Struthio camelus: one gene and its partner. The protein of the gene in region 1 interacts with the protein of each later gene in a biochemical or structural test. Links are inferred from orthologs where the notes say so. Each region holds a gene or a part of one and is shown in the gene's direction. Other genes may lie near its edges.

Region 1 (7,411 bases):
GCGTCCCCGTTACCCCCCCCCCCGTTACCCCAGGGCGTCCCCGTTACCCCCCCCCCCGTTCCCCCAGGGCGTCCCCGTTACCCCCCCCGTTACCCCCCCCGTTACCCCAGGGACCCTCTTTACACCTCCCCATTACCCTCCCATTACTCCTCAATAACCCCCCCCCCCATTACCCCCGGGCATCCCTGTTACCCTCCCCATTACCCCGGGGACCCTCATTACACCCCCCCCATTACCCTTGGGTAGTGCTGTCCCCCCCCCCATTGTCCCCTCTGTTACCCCTGGGCCCCCCCATGTTAATCTCAGTTCCCCCCCCCACCCCAGGGACCCTCATTACTTCTCTATTACCCCCTGTTACCCCTGGGTATCCCCATTACCCCCTCATTATCCTGGGGACCCTCATTACCCCCCCCATTACCCTGGGGACCGCTGTTCCCCCCCCCCCATTACCTCCTGTTTCTTCCTCGTTACCCTGGGGATCCTCATTACCCCCCGTTACCCCCCATTTCCCCCCCCATTACCCCTGGGGACCCCCATTATACCCCCCATTTCCCCCCCCCATTACCCCTGGGGACCCCCATTATACCCCCCATTTCCCCCCCCATTACCCCTGGGGACCCCCATTATACCCCCCATTTCCCCCCCCATTACCCCTGGGGACCCCCATTATACCCCCCATTTCCCCCCCCATTACCCCTGGGGACCCCCATTATACCCCCCATTTCCCCCCCCATTACCCCTGGGGACCCCCATTATACCCCCCATTTCCCCCCCCATTACCCCTGGGGACCCCCGTTACCCCCCATTACTTCCGCATTACCCCTGGGGACCCCCGTTACCCCCCATTACCCCGGGGGAGTCCTGTTCCCCTCCATTACTCCCCTGTTACCCCTGGGGACCCCTGTTACCCCCATTACCCCTGGGCATCCCTGTTCACCCCATTCCCCCTCGTTACCCCTGGGGACACCCGTTACCGTCTGTTACCCTTGAACACCCCCCCTTACCCTCCTTTACCCCCTGTTACCCCAGGGACCCCCCATTACCCCCCGGTTACCCCTCTGTTACCCCATCCCGTTACCCCATCCCATTACTCCGTTACCCCTGGGCATCCCCGTTACCCCGGGGACCCCCATTACTGCCGTTACCCCCCATTACCCCCCTTCCCCCACTTACCCCTGGGGACCCCCATTACCCCCCCCACTACTCCGTGTTACCCCTGGGACCCCTGTTACCCCTGAGCATCCCCATTACCCCCCCCCATTACCCCTGGAGACCTCTGTTATCCCTCCCTTATTGCCCCCCCATCACCCTCTATCATCCCCCTGGTACCCTCCCTGTTACCCCTTGTTCTCCCCTGGTTCCCCCCCCCACTTTAGCTTTTGGGCCCCTGTTACCCTCCTGTTACCTCTCGGTACCCCCGTTACCCTCCCATTAACCCCTCAGGACCCGTGTTACTCTCTTGTCCCCCCCGTTATCCTCCTTGTTACCCCTTGTTACCACCTTGTTACCCCCGTTATTCCCGTGTTACCCCGTTGTTACCCCGTTACCCTTCCTTACCCTGCAGCAACCTCTGTATCACCCCCGTTACCCTCGTGCACCCCATTACCCCCATCATTTCCTCGTTTCCCCTTTTCTGCCCGCTTCTCCGCTGTTACCTCCCTTTTACCCCCTCGTTACCCTTCATTAGTCCCTCGTTACCCCTGTTTCCCCCTTTTCTGCCCCTTGCTCCCCTGTTATCCCCCTGTTGTTACCCCGTTATTCGTCGTGCCCCTTGTCCCCCCCGTAACCCCTTTGTTACTCTGTGTTAGTATTTCTTTCTCCTTTTTGTGCCCGTTACTGCCTTATTACTCTTTTCTTCGTTGTGCTGTTTCCCCATCCCTCCTTTACAACCCCTTCGTTACCCCTCGTTACTCTGTTACTCCCCCATTCCCCCATTTTCTGCTCGTTACTCCCCCGTTACTCTCTTCCCTTATTACTGTTTTTCTGACCCTGTCGTTACTCCTTGTTACTCTGTGTTACTTCCCCGTTTCCCCCTTTTTGCCTGTTGTCCCCTCCTACCCTCCTTGTTCGCTTGTTACCCTGCTTCTACCCTGTTCGTCTTCTGTAATCTTTTTGTTACTCCTCGTTACTCCGTGTTACTCCCCCGTTTGCCCACTTTCTGCCCGTCGGTCCGGCGTCGCCGTTCTTTCATCCTTCGTTTGCCCCTTTCCCTGGTTGTTACCTTGTTTTCGTCATTATTGTCTTATAACCTCCTTGTTACTCTGTGTTACTCTGTGTTACTGCCCCATTAGCCCCCTTTTGTCCCCCTGCAATCCCTGTTACTTCTCTATGACTGTCTTGTTACTTCATGTTACTCTTGTCCCCCCCCCCCCACCTTTTTTTCTTCCCTCGTCGCCACCTGTTTTCCTATTACTCTTTTGTGGCTGCACTGTTACTCTTTGTTACCCTGTGTTACTCCCCCCCCCCCCAATTTTTTGTTTTACTCCCCTGTTAGCTCTCTTTTCCCTTTCCTACCCACCATTACTCTAAGTCACATGTTACTCCATGTTACTCCACGTTACCTCCCCATTCCCCTTTCGTTATCCCCCGTATTCCAGTTGCTCTCGTATAACCCCCTTGTTACTGCTGGTTACTCTGCGTTACTCCACCATTACCCCCCTTTCCTCCCCCCCGTAGCGCCTGCTGCTTGTTACCCTATGTTACTTCCCGTCCCCCCTTTTCCGCTCGTTACTCCCTTCTCCCCTTTGTTACCCTGCTCTTTGTTGTTCTTTTACCGCCCCTTGTTACTCTGTGTTACTCCCACGGTCCCCCTCCTCTGCCTTTCTCCCCTGCTGGCTCCCTTTTTCCGCCTTGTAACCGCTGTTACTCTTTCTCGAGTAGCGTGACTGCGTTGTTACTCTGCATTACTCTCCCGTTCCCCTTTTCTCACCTTGTTACTGCTCCTTTTTATTTTATTATTCTGTATTTTTATGTTACTCTTGCTTTGCTGCTTTATTAGTTCACGTTACTCTGTTACTGCGTCATTAGCTCCTCCTGCTTTGTAACCAGCGTTACTCTCTTAATAACACCTTGTTACCCCCTATTACTTCCCCATTCCCCCCCTTTCCCCTCGTTACTCCCCCGCTGCCCCCTTCCCCCCGGCCTTTCCCAGTCCCATTACAGCCCGTTTCGCTGTTACCCTTTTATAACACCCCTAATTATTCCCCGTTACTCCTTGTTACTCCCTGTTACGCCATCATTTTCGTGTTTCCCCCTCATCTCGCATTACTCCTTGTTCCCCTGTTACTTCCTAATGCTCAGTGTTGCTTCCTCTTCCCCCATTCTGCCCTGATACCCACTGTTACTTGACGTTACTCCCTGTTACTCCCTCATTTTCCTGTCACCCCTCATCCCTGCATTACTCCCTGTTACCCCCCATTGCTCAGCGTTGCTCCCTGTTCCCCCCATTTCTCCCTGACAGCTGCTGTTACTCGATGTCACTCCTTGTTACTTCCTGTTACTATCTCATTTTCCTATTCAGCTCTCACCCCGCGTTACTCCCCATTTCCCCCTCATTACCCCCCCAATGCCCAGCGTTACTCCCCCTTTCCCCATCCCGCCCGGATACCCGTTGCTACTCAATGTTACTCCTTGTTACTCCCTGTTACTCCCTCATTTTCCTATCACCGCTCACCCCGCGTTACTCCGTTACCCCCCAATGCCCGGCTTTGCTCCGTCTTCCCCGTCCTGCCCTGATACCTGCTGTTACTTGACGTTGCTCCTTGTTACTTCCTGTTACTATCTCATTTTCCTATTTAGCTCTCACGCCTTGTTACTCCCCGTTTCCCCCTTGTTACCCCCCTAATGCCAGTGTTGTTCCCTCTCCCACCCGTCCCGCTGTCATACCTGCTGTTACTTGGCGTTACTCCTCGTTACTCCCTGTTACTCTCTCATGTTCCTGTTCACCCCTCACCCTGCATTACTCCCCGTTGCCACCCAATGCTCAGCATTGCTCCCTCTTCCCCCCACCCCGCCCTGATACCTGCTGTTACTTGGTGTTACTCCTTGTTACTTGCTGTTACTATCTCATTTTCCTATTCAGCTCTCACCCCGCGTTACTCCCCATTTCCCCCTCGTTACCCCCCAATGCCCAGCGTTACTCCCTCTTTCCCCGCCCCGCCCTGATACCCGCTGTTACTTGATGTTGCTCTTTGTTACTCCCTGTTACCCCCTCATTTTCCTGTTCACCCCTCGCCCCTTGTTACTCCCCGTTACTCCCCAATGCTCAGCGTTGCTCCCTCCCCCCCACCCCCTGGATACTCACTGTTACTCTACGTTACTCCTTGTTACTCCCTGTTACTCACCGCGACTCCCGGTCGCGCTCTGCTCCTCAGCGTCACCGGCCAGCGCTCCGGGCGGCCCCGTCCGGCCGGCGCCATGTCGGGGGCGGGGGGCAAGCGGGCGGCGGGCGAGGGGGGCGCCGGCCCCCCCGAGAAGAAGGCGCCGCGCGACGAGCAGCCCCCGACCACCCTCATCGAGCCCCTGCGCCTCGGCGGCATCTCCTCCACGGTGGGTACCCGCTGCGCGCCCCCGGACGCCTGGGTCCCCTCTCTCCCCCGGACACCTGGGTCCCCCCTCTTCCCCCCCCCTCCCCCCCGGGCGCCTGGGTCCCCCCCTCCCCCCCGGGCGCCTGGGTCCCCCCCCCGGACGCCTGGGTCCCCTCTCCCCCCCCCCCCCGGGCGCCTGGGTCCGTCCCCCCCACCCCGGACGCCTGGGTCCCCTCTTCCCCCCCCCCCCCCCACCCGGACGCCTGGGTCCATCCTGCCCCCGGACGCCTGGGTCCCCCCCCCCCCCCCCCCGGGCGCCTGGGTCCCCTCTTCCCCCCCCCCCCCCCCCCCCAACCCGGACGCCTGGGTCCTTCTCACACCCGGACGCCTGGGTCCCCTCTCCCCCCCTGCACACCCGGTCGCCTGGGTCCATCCTGCCCCCGGACGCCTGGGTCCCTTCTCCTCTCCCCCCTCCCCCCTGCCAGACACCTGGGTCCCCTGGGGTGGCCAGACCTTCCCAGGCCCGGACACCTGGGCCCCCCAGACACCTGGGTCCCCTGGGGTGGCCTGAACCTGGTGGGTGCCCGGACGCCTGGGCCCCGCGGATTGGCCGGGATGCCAGGACACCTGGGTCCCCCAGAGGCCTGGGTCCTCTGAGGTCACCTGAGCATGATGGGTGCTGGGACACCTGGGCCCCCCGGACACCTGGGCCCCCCAGAGTGGCCTGAGCTTGGCCGGGATGCCAGGACACCTGGGCCCCCCGGACACCTGGGCCCCCCAGAGTGGCCTGAGCCTGGTATGGATGTTGGGACGCCTGGGTGCCCCGGACACCTGGGCCCCCCAGAGCGGCCTGAGCTTGGCCGGGATGCCAGGACGCCTGGGTCCCCCGGACACCTGGGCCCCCCAGAGCGGCCTGAGCCTGGCAGAGGCGGAAGGTGGGGTGGGGGGGGGGACCCCGGGTTGCCGGGGGTGGGGGGGCGCCGCGGGAGGCTGACGGCGCGCCCGGACGCCTGGGCCCCGCAGGAGGAGATGGACCTGAAGGTGCTGCAGTTCAAGAACAAGAAGCTGGCGGAGCGGCTGGAGCAGCGGCAGGCGTGCGAGGACGAGCTGCGCGAGCGCATCGAGAAGCTCGAGAAGCGCCAGGCCACCGACGACGCCACCCTCCTCATCGTCAACCGCTACTGGGGCCAGGTGGCGTGTCCCCCCCCCCCCCCCAAAACCCCATCCCTGACCCCAAATTGCATCCTGGCACCCCAAAATCCCGTCCCCGAACCCCAAACCCCATCCTGACACCCCAAAATCCTGTCTTCCAGCCCCAAAATCCCATCCCGGGGCCCCAAAGTCCTGTCCCCGAACCCCAAACCCCATCCCGGCACCCCAAAATCCTGTCTTCCACCCCCCAAAATCCTGTCCTGACCCCCCAAAATCCCGTCCCCGAACCCCAAACCCCATCCTGACACCCCAAAATCCTGTCTTCCAGCCCCAAAATCCCATCCTGACGCCCCAAAGTCCTGTCCCCGAACCCCAAACCCCATCCCGGCACCCCAAAATCCTGTCTTCCACCCCCCAAAATCCTGTCCTGACCCCCCAAAATCACGTCCCCGAACCCCAAACCCCATCCTGACACCCCAAAATCCTGTCTTCCAGCCCCAAAATCCCATCCCGGGGCCCCAAAGTCCCGTCCCCGAACCCCAAACCCCGTCCCGGCACCCCAAAATCCTGTCTTCCACCCCCCAAAATCCTGTCCTGACCCCCCAAAATCCTGTTTTTGAACCCCCAAATCCCACCCTGACACCCCAAAATCCTGTCTTCCAGCCCCAAAATCCCATCCCGGGGCCCCAAAGTCCCATCCCCGAACCCCAAATCCCATCCCGGCACCCCAAAATCCTGTCTTCCACCCCCCAAAATCCTGTCCTGACCCCCCAAAATCCCGTCCCCAAACCCCAAACCCCATCCTGACACCCCAAAATCCTGTCTTCCAGCCCCAAAATCCCATCCTGGGGCCCCAAAGTCCTGTCCCCGAACCCCAAACCCCGTCCCGGCACCCCAAAATCCTGTCTTCCACCCCCCAAAATCCTGTCCTGACCCCCCAAAATCCTGTTTTTGAACCCCCAAATCCCACCCTGACACCCCAAAATCCTGTCTTCCAGCCCCAAAATCCCATCCCGGGGCCCCAAAGTCCCGTCCCCGAACCCCAAATCCCATCCCGGCACCCCAAAATCCTGTCTTCCACCCCCCAAAATCCCGTCCCCAAACCCCAAACCCCATCCTGACACCCCAAAATCCTGTCTTCCAGCCCCAAAATCCCATCCTGGGGCCCCAAAGTCCTGTCCCCGAACCCCAAACCCCATCCTGGCACCCCAAAATCCTGTCTTCCACCCCCCAAAGTCCTGTCCTGACCCCCCCAAATCCTGTTTTTGAACCCCCAAATCTCATCCTGGCACCCCAAAATCCTGTCTTCCAGCCCCAAAATCCCATCCCGGTGCCCCAAAGTCCCGTCCCCGAACCCCAAACCCCGTCCCCGAACCCCAAACCCCGTCCCGGCACCCCAAACCCCGTCCCGGCACCCCAAAATCCTGTCCTGACCCCCCAAAATCCTGTCCTGACCTCCTAAAATCCTGTTTTTGAACCCCCAAACCCCATCCTAACACCCCAAAATCCTCTCTTCCAGCCCCAAAATCCCATCCCGGGGCCCCAAAGTCCTGTCCCCGAACCCCAAACCCCGTCCCGGCACCCCAAAATCCTGTCTTCCACCCCCCAAAATCCTGTCCTGACCCCCCAAAATCCTGTTTTTGAACCCCCAAATCCCACCCTGACACCCCAAAATCCTGTCTTCCAGCCCCAAAATCCCATCCCGGGGCCCCAAAGTCCCGTCCCCGAACCCC
Region 2 (7,597 bases), on another chromosome or scaffold:
TATAACCTGTCTTACTTCAGATAAACTTTCCTTTGCAGGCCAGCCCTACAGAGTCACAGTAAGCTCCAGTTTATCACTTCTGCTCTAGCAATGTCTGTGTATTCATTTTTTTTTTTCTAAATATTCTATTCTAAACAAACTGAAGCTGTTCAAGAAAAGCTATTTATGTGAGGAGGTATATTACTTGAAAAAAATTACAGAAAGCTATGCATTAAAAAAGGCTTACCACTTGAATAATGATACAATAAATTCATTTGTGCCAATGCAGAATATTATGGCAAGAACTATTTTTGAGTAACAACTCGGTAGACGCACTTACCTCATGAGTGCCACACTCAGGAGTTATTCTACAAATAGCAAGCCGTAGAGATATACTGTGTATTGCTCTCCGTTTGTGAATCTGAGTTTAAATAGAAATTTTACAGACTGTGATTACTGCATGGAATTTTGACACCAGCTTTCTATTTGAAACCTGGGAAGCCCAGTGTGCTTAGATGACTAGACAGTCATTTTCCCTTGTTTTTGTAACTTAGAAAAGATGAAATATCTGAAGTCATTTAGTTTCGACATTGTAATAGCTTGATTTAGAGGCAATAAAGGTTGTAAAGTAGACTTCAACTTAAAAGGCTTAACACCACTTTAACTACCTAAACAGAGCAAGAGGATGCCCTATTCATACTATATGATTATTCTAAAACAAACCTGTAACTATTGTCTAATAGAGATGGACAATACAAGAATAAAACTGTATTGTGAACTCCCTATAACCGAAGTTTCCATGATACAAGTTCTTTTTCAGTAAGACAATTTTAAGCTCCCTTTCAGATAAGATGAAACAGCTTACACATTCAACTGTAAAACAAAAAGTCCTTGCTATTTAGATAGTATGTTTTCCTAAGACTTCCTATTTTGATGGTAGTTATGACTATAATCAGACTGAGTAAGGAGAAAATACCTCAATACATCCAGTCAAATCACCTTTTTTGCTATGAAAGAACAACATTTTTGCTTTTGTTTTTACTTCAATGCGAGTCATTGAAGACACTGAAGTAAAATTTGTTTTTATCTCAATATCGTGAATACAGCAGTGTTGCAACAATAGCAGTAACCCTGGCTTCACCTAATTTTATCACTTCAGCATTACTGAAGGTAAGGCAGGGGAAATGTTATACAGGTAAGTTGTTGATTAGCCCAGTCTCGCTCATCCCTCATGTTAAGTTTATTCAAAAGTTATAGCACGGCAATCAGAAGAACATAACATTTGCTTCACATAATTGGCGAAGAGCTATTACTGTCAGAAACTATTCATATACACATACCCTTTGCACTTGCACTTGAGAGATGCACAAGTTTGTTAAGATTAGATTTGCCCTTCTTTAAATTTAGTGACTAGCTATGGAATAAAGATTTAGGACTAGTAGTCAAATTTTTAAGTTAGTTTTGCTTAAAAACAAAGTTACTGCTGTAGTACCTGAACGAATAGGGCAAAATATATGCACATATACACACCAACACACAGAGAGGTTAAGTGCTAGAAATAGAAAACAAGATTAAATTGGGATTTCTGCCATGCTGTTACCTCCTCCCCAATCTCTAAATGAGATTTTATTTTAACCACACCTGTAAGAACACCTGACAGCTGCAGAACCCGTTCTAATCTCATTTTCTACTTTAGTTTGTATTTATTTCTCTCCATTTCGTGTTACTATTCTTGACAACCTTACTATAAACTTTTAGTATATCAGGACAGTGCTAAAGTGCACTAGAAATAAGGTTTCTAGCAGTTCTAGTATTGGCTTTTAGCTCTAATTATCTTCTTCGGCTTTATATTTAACACAATATTTTGATTAAATTCTACTATTTGTAAGATCATCTAGAGCTATTGAAATATTCATAGTCATCTTTTGATCATCTGTAAGTGGGTTAATTGGTCCCAGCTTACACAGTATAGATGCCTGCAGCACTGTACCCTGGAAGTAGAAAGCATGCACTTATGCCAAAACCAGTTTTTCACCATGACACAATTCTCTTCTAAAGAGGGTTCTGAATATACTTTCAGAAGATGAATTAATCTATATACAGTCTTATATCCTAAGATGTCCTGTGTTACTTTCTCACCTTACTGCTCCATTATTCCAGCTAATAGGAGTTGATTGTAAAGAGGGGCTTGCCTCTGTGCATGTGCCAAATGGAGAACACGCTCCTAAAGGAAGGAGATAAATAGTTTGTTTCTATTTGGCTCCTAACAGTTCAAAATAAATAGCAATACTTGTGCAGGGAAAACAAGTAGTATCTGATCTACACAGATCCACTAGTTTTACAGTGAGTTTCTTTCTAAACAGGTAAGTAAGGAAAAGAAGGACAAAAGGATGGGGTAAGATTCCACAACGGAGCAATATGCATGGCTTTGGGTAAAAGAACTAAGGGGAAGAAGGAAAAAAAAAAAAAAAAAAAAGCATTCTCTCCAGGTTTAAAGTATTATTCAACCAAACAGAAATTCAATGGTAACCAAAGTCTGATTAGTAAAAGTGTTTTCCTGCCATCTTCAGAAGAGCTGTGAGAACAGCTCACACCAAAACTGACAGCCTGACAGCCTCACACCTGCCTCAGCTACCTATTTGCAGTATAGTTTGTAGTGATTTAAGTAACTACATAGGGTTTTTTTTAAAGCAAAACAAAAACTTTATTTCATCTAGGCTCTACAGAATTTCTGATATATTAAAAAAAACAAGAAAAACATATAGAAAAGTTGGAAGAGAGCCCCTTTCCGCTTATACTGTTGTCGGAGGCTTCTGTGGCTAACCACATTTCTCACCTAGTGGAATTTCAGAACTATGGAGTCCAAACATTTGACAGTTTCAGGTTACATGGCTTTTCAGTTCTGGCGAACTCTTTAAGCTTCCCACTTCCTTCTTCAGGACATTAAGTAAAGTTCTAGAACTATCCAAAATCTTCATGTAAGCAGCTTCAGTTTCAGCAAGAATTTTGTCAAGCTCGTTCCGTGAGGCTACCTTTTGGGCTAGGTTTTCACATACGCACTCCAGTTTCTCACTCAGGACTTGGATTTCATGCTGGAGTTTATTTTTTTCTTCTTCCGCTTGCTGGATTTGTTTGTTCAGCTCTTCTTTTTGCATACATAAGTCTTCAATGCATTTCACTAGCTCATTATTGTAACCCTGCAGAGCAGCTCCCTGCTGAGTCATCCTCCACAGCTCTCCCTGAGCTCTACCACTGGTCCCTGAAGTCTCCTCTCAGCAACAGCCTTCTGCACTGTAATTAAAAAAAACAGAAACAAAAATTGTGTAGCAGAGTTGTCATCAATCCTACACTAGCATAGACGTAGCCATAAGGAAAAACGCTCTGTTTTAAGCTTAATATACCAGTTCTGAGGTGTCCCACGTTTCTTCCCTTCCCAAGAAGGGGAGCAGGGCAAAATTGAGGGTCCACAAATTTACCTTCACTGCAAATTGATCCTTCACTCCGTGATGGCAACGCTCTACTGTGGATAACAAGCTACATTTACTGTATTTAAATAAGGTCTTAATACCGTTCTGAATATATGATGCTTTGTACCTCAAACGTTGGGTGTTTGGTCAGAAATTGCCGGGTGACCCTTTCCCGGGAGAGGGGGCTCAGCAGTGACCACCGGCCCCCTCCAGAAGCCTCTGTGAGAGGGCACCGTCTCCTCAAGCCCAGCACGAGGCATCCGCTTCGCCCCAACTACCTAGGGGCTGCCCGGAGCAAACCCCTCTGGCGCCGCTGGGGCCTCTGGGGCGCCCGGATGGTGATTTTATACCTCTGCCGAAACGCAGAGGCTCCGCTCGCTGCCGGGAGGCGGCCAGGCACCCCCCCCGCGGCGGCGACGGCCTCGCCGCGCTCCCCCGGGGGCCGGGAGCGAGGCCCCGTCCCCGCGTGTCGCACAAAACCGGCTCCGCCACGGCAGCCGGGCCGCGCGGGAGGCGCCCCGACCCGCGCCGCCATCGCCTCCCCAGGGACATTTTAACATCCTCTTTACCGCCGAGCGCTTCCTCGCAGAAGGCGAAACGTACACAAAATGGCTCCTGACTATACATCAAATCCCTGGGCGGAAGGGGAGGAGGGGGGAGGTAAGAGGAGACCTTCCCTTTCCTATCTCGTAGCCGGGCGTTGCCCCCTCCCCCGCGCCGGTTCTCTCGCAATTCCCCCTATTGCCCCCACCTGCCTGGCGTTCCCGCCCCGTCGGTTGCCACCGAGGAGGCCGGCTGCCCTGCGGGGGCCCGGCTCCCTCGCAGCCCGGCCCGCCCGCCTCTCCCAGGGGCACGGCCCGCCGGACGGCGCGGGCTCCGCTCCCCGCCGCCAACCAGCCGGCCGCGCCCCGCCAACGGCTGCTCGGCCGGCCGCTGCGAGCGGGGGCAGGGCGGCGGCGGCCGCGCGGGTCACGGAAATACCCGAGCATTTCCGAAAGCGGCGTCACCCTGACGGGAGCGTGAAAACCTCTCTACGGAAATAACCGATGTTTTCCGAAGACAGGTAGCGTTGGCGAGAGAAGGACGAGGCGGGCCGGCCGGCGGCAAGGGGGAGGGGAGAGAGTTACGGAAGGAGCCGATGTTTGCCGAAGGGGGAGACTGAAGGGCGTTGGGCTCGGCGAAGGCAGCCGATGTTTCCCGAAGGCAGAGTCGCCCGAGAGCAAAGGGGACAGAGGGGACGGCGCGCGTCGGAAAGAGCCGAAAAGAGCCGACGTTAACCGAGCGCGGCGTCGCCCGAGTTTCCCGGATGTAGTTGGAGGAGCGGCGGCGGCGGCGGCGGCGGGCGCAGCGGGGGGAGGAGGCGGCGGCAGCGGCGGCAGCAACGGCGGCGGCGGCGGAGTCCGTGCTCCCGGAGTGTCTCAGCGCGCGCGGGGCCGAGTTGCTGGCGTCTCCCCTTTCGCCGTGTGCGGAGGAGATGGGCCCGTGAGCGCTGCTCCCAGCCGAGCCGCCTGAGCCGCCCCCTCCCTCCCTTCCCCCCTCCCTGCCCCCGGTCGGCGGCGAGGCGGAGCGCTGCCTCCCCCTCCTCCCCCCTCGGCGCCTGTGGCCCGGCCGCGGCCGTCCCCTCCTGGTCCCCTCACACTCACACACACAGGCCGGGCATTGATGGTAATGTATGCGAGGAAACAGCAGAGACTCAGTGATGGGTAAATCCCTTCCTCCTCCTCCTCCCCCGGCCCCTTGCCCCGCGGGGTCTCCCCCTCCCCTCCGCCATGTTTGGGCCCCCTTCCCTGGCGGCCGGTAACGGTTGTTCGCTAACGTCTCTCTCTCTGTCTCTCTCTCTCTCTCTCTCTCTTTCTCTCGCTTTCTCTTTAGCTGTCACGACCGCAGGGGGGACTCGCAGCCCTACCAGGTACCTAAAGCGCCGGCCGCTAGGCCCAGGAGGAGGAGCAGGGGAGGGGAAGGGAGGGGGCAGCTACTCCAGCGTAGGCTTCGGCCGCCGCCGCAGGCCGCGGTGCAACAGCCTCCTCGGCCCCGTCCCTCAGCGCCTCTTCGGGCCCGGGGGAGCCGGGGGAGGCGGCGGCGGCTGCGTGCGCAGAGGACGGGGCTGCGGCTCCCGTCTGGGGCCTGTGGGGCCTGGGCGAGGAGGAGAGGCCTAGTACAGCCCGTGTACGGCCTGGGCCTAGGAGTCGGGGAGGGCTGGCTAGGAGGGGCGGGAGAGCGAGTCGGGGTCACTTGCAGTAAGTGGAGATCCAGGGGGAGGTGAGTGTTTTCCTTTTAAAAACAAAAGGCATCTTGTTCTTCCCCCGCCCCCCTCCCCAAGTCCTCTCTTCTCCCCAAAACTGCTGCTGTGGATTGTAACCTGAGCAGGGCATGATTTTAGACGCTGAATAACGGGGGTTGCCAGTAAGGCCTAATTTCTGCAGTTGCCAGCTGCTAGCTATGGTCAGAAACCACTATCAAATCCTTGAACTGCTGAGACGAGCCTTAATTTCTGTAAGGGATGCTACGTTCCTCTGCTTTGCCTACTGAGAAATTTAGTTCTGAGGGTGTGAATCTGGGGAATGCTTGCATATTGTGGTATTGCTCTCCTTAGGGCAAATAACTGAGCTGTTGTTTTATTACACTTCTGTGTATTTGTATCACTGAAATGTAACCTGACAGTCGAAGGCAGCTGTCAGTGACAGTTCACGTAAATGTAAACAGTTGCCACTCAGAAGTTCACGCTGCAAAATCACGCAGGTCAAAGACGTGCAGAATGTGTCATTTTTGGTAAATATTTCCAAATTAACTTTCATATTCCATGTTGTGGGTCCCCAGAATTCTAGGTTTGTTGTTACTTCTGTTACGGAGATGCTTGTACTGAAGTAAAGCTTGCAGAAGTTCCAGGTAGAGGTGAAGTTAAGTTGCCTCAGTTGCAAGATGGAGGACGTATATTCAAAGTTTACACTGATTCAATATAACTTTTTGCTCATCGTTTTAATGCTAACTAGAGATTTCTGCTTCTTCCACAAATGTCAGAAATGCTGTGGCCCATTTGCTGCTGAAAGTATGTAGTCTGCCAGTGAAAAGATAAATAAGTTAGATTTATCTTAACAGCAAATGTGATACTGGATATCATAGTGGGAGAAAATGGTTTGAATTCTAATGACAGAACTTGTTGCTTTCATGTAGGTAATTAAAACCAGAAAGGCTAATGATGATTATTGAAATGGGAAATGAAAATTAATTAACTTTAAAATGTATTCTGGAAAGAGAATTTAAAATTTAAAAATATCACTTTAAGATCTCTTCTGTAACTTTAAGTCGAATATAAATGCCTATTCTCTTGTTGTGTGTTACAGGCTCTTAAATACTCATCCAAGGGTCACCCCAGTGGTGGTGATCACCGTCATGACAAGATGCGAGACACCACAGATCCTTCACCACCAAATAAAATGTTGCGGCGATCTGATAGCCCTGAAAACAAATACGGTGACAACACAGGGCACGCTAAAGCAAAAAGTGTGCATACTCACAGAGTTAGAGAGAGGGATGGTGGTGAGTTATCTTTAATTAACCTTTATTTAAGCGATTGCTAATTTCTCAGAAATATTACAAATTAGCAGTTATCACTGACATGAGGAGAGCTGTATACTCAGTGGTGTGCCTGATGCTTGGAAGACTACACTGAAACCAAAATGGCAGTTCCTTTGGAAATAATCATTTAATTTTCTTATTTTTACAGGTGTGGTAGTTTTTGTTAAGGCCACAAAGATTAAATAAACTTATCTTTTTTTTTTTTTTTTTTTTAACTGGTATGTCTGAGTTAGGTTTAATTTAGATATGCTGCTGCAATATTCAGTAATATAAAATAGTATTCTAGGTTTACCACTGACAAATGTTTGCTATTTTAAAAACTATATTCTAGTGCTATTATTTTTAATAATTCTGTGTATTGTAATGATATACTGTGTAGTTGAGCACTTTATAGACTAAACTCCACAAAAATGGAAACAAGCTGCTGCTTTTTCTAGCTGCTGTGTAGAACTTAACAATCAGAAAATAACAATCCAAGTTAGCGCTTACTGGAGTCTTTCTCGGCAGGAGCTTGGAAGGGAAATGTTCACAGTTAAGTCAGCTAGCTTGTTGTATTTTTACAGGATATTATAGAT

The links.
Region 2: the proteins of RNF40 (region 1) and WAC form a complex in vitro, tested with the Homo sapiens proteins (2 studies listed by BioGRID). The link is inferred for Struthio camelus from reciprocal best matches to the Homo sapiens genes RNF40 and WAC.

The regions. Positions count from the first base shown.
Region 1 is NC_090973.1:1,072,031-1,079,441, forward strand, and holds the start of RNF40 (E3 ubiquitin-protein ligase BRE1B), read left to right. Parts: upstream 1-4,374; 5' UTR 4,375-4,416; coding exon 4,417-4,548; intron 4,549-5,549; coding exon 5,550-5,717; intron 5,718-7,411.
Region 2 is NC_090943.1:18,551,263-18,558,859, reverse strand, and holds the start of WAC (WW domain-containing adapter protein with coiled-coil), read left to right. Parts: upstream 1-4,551; 5' UTR 4,552-5,108; coding exon 5,109-5,149; intron 5,150-5,318; coding exon 5,319-5,355; intron 5,356-6,787; coding exon 6,788-6,983; intron 6,984-7,597.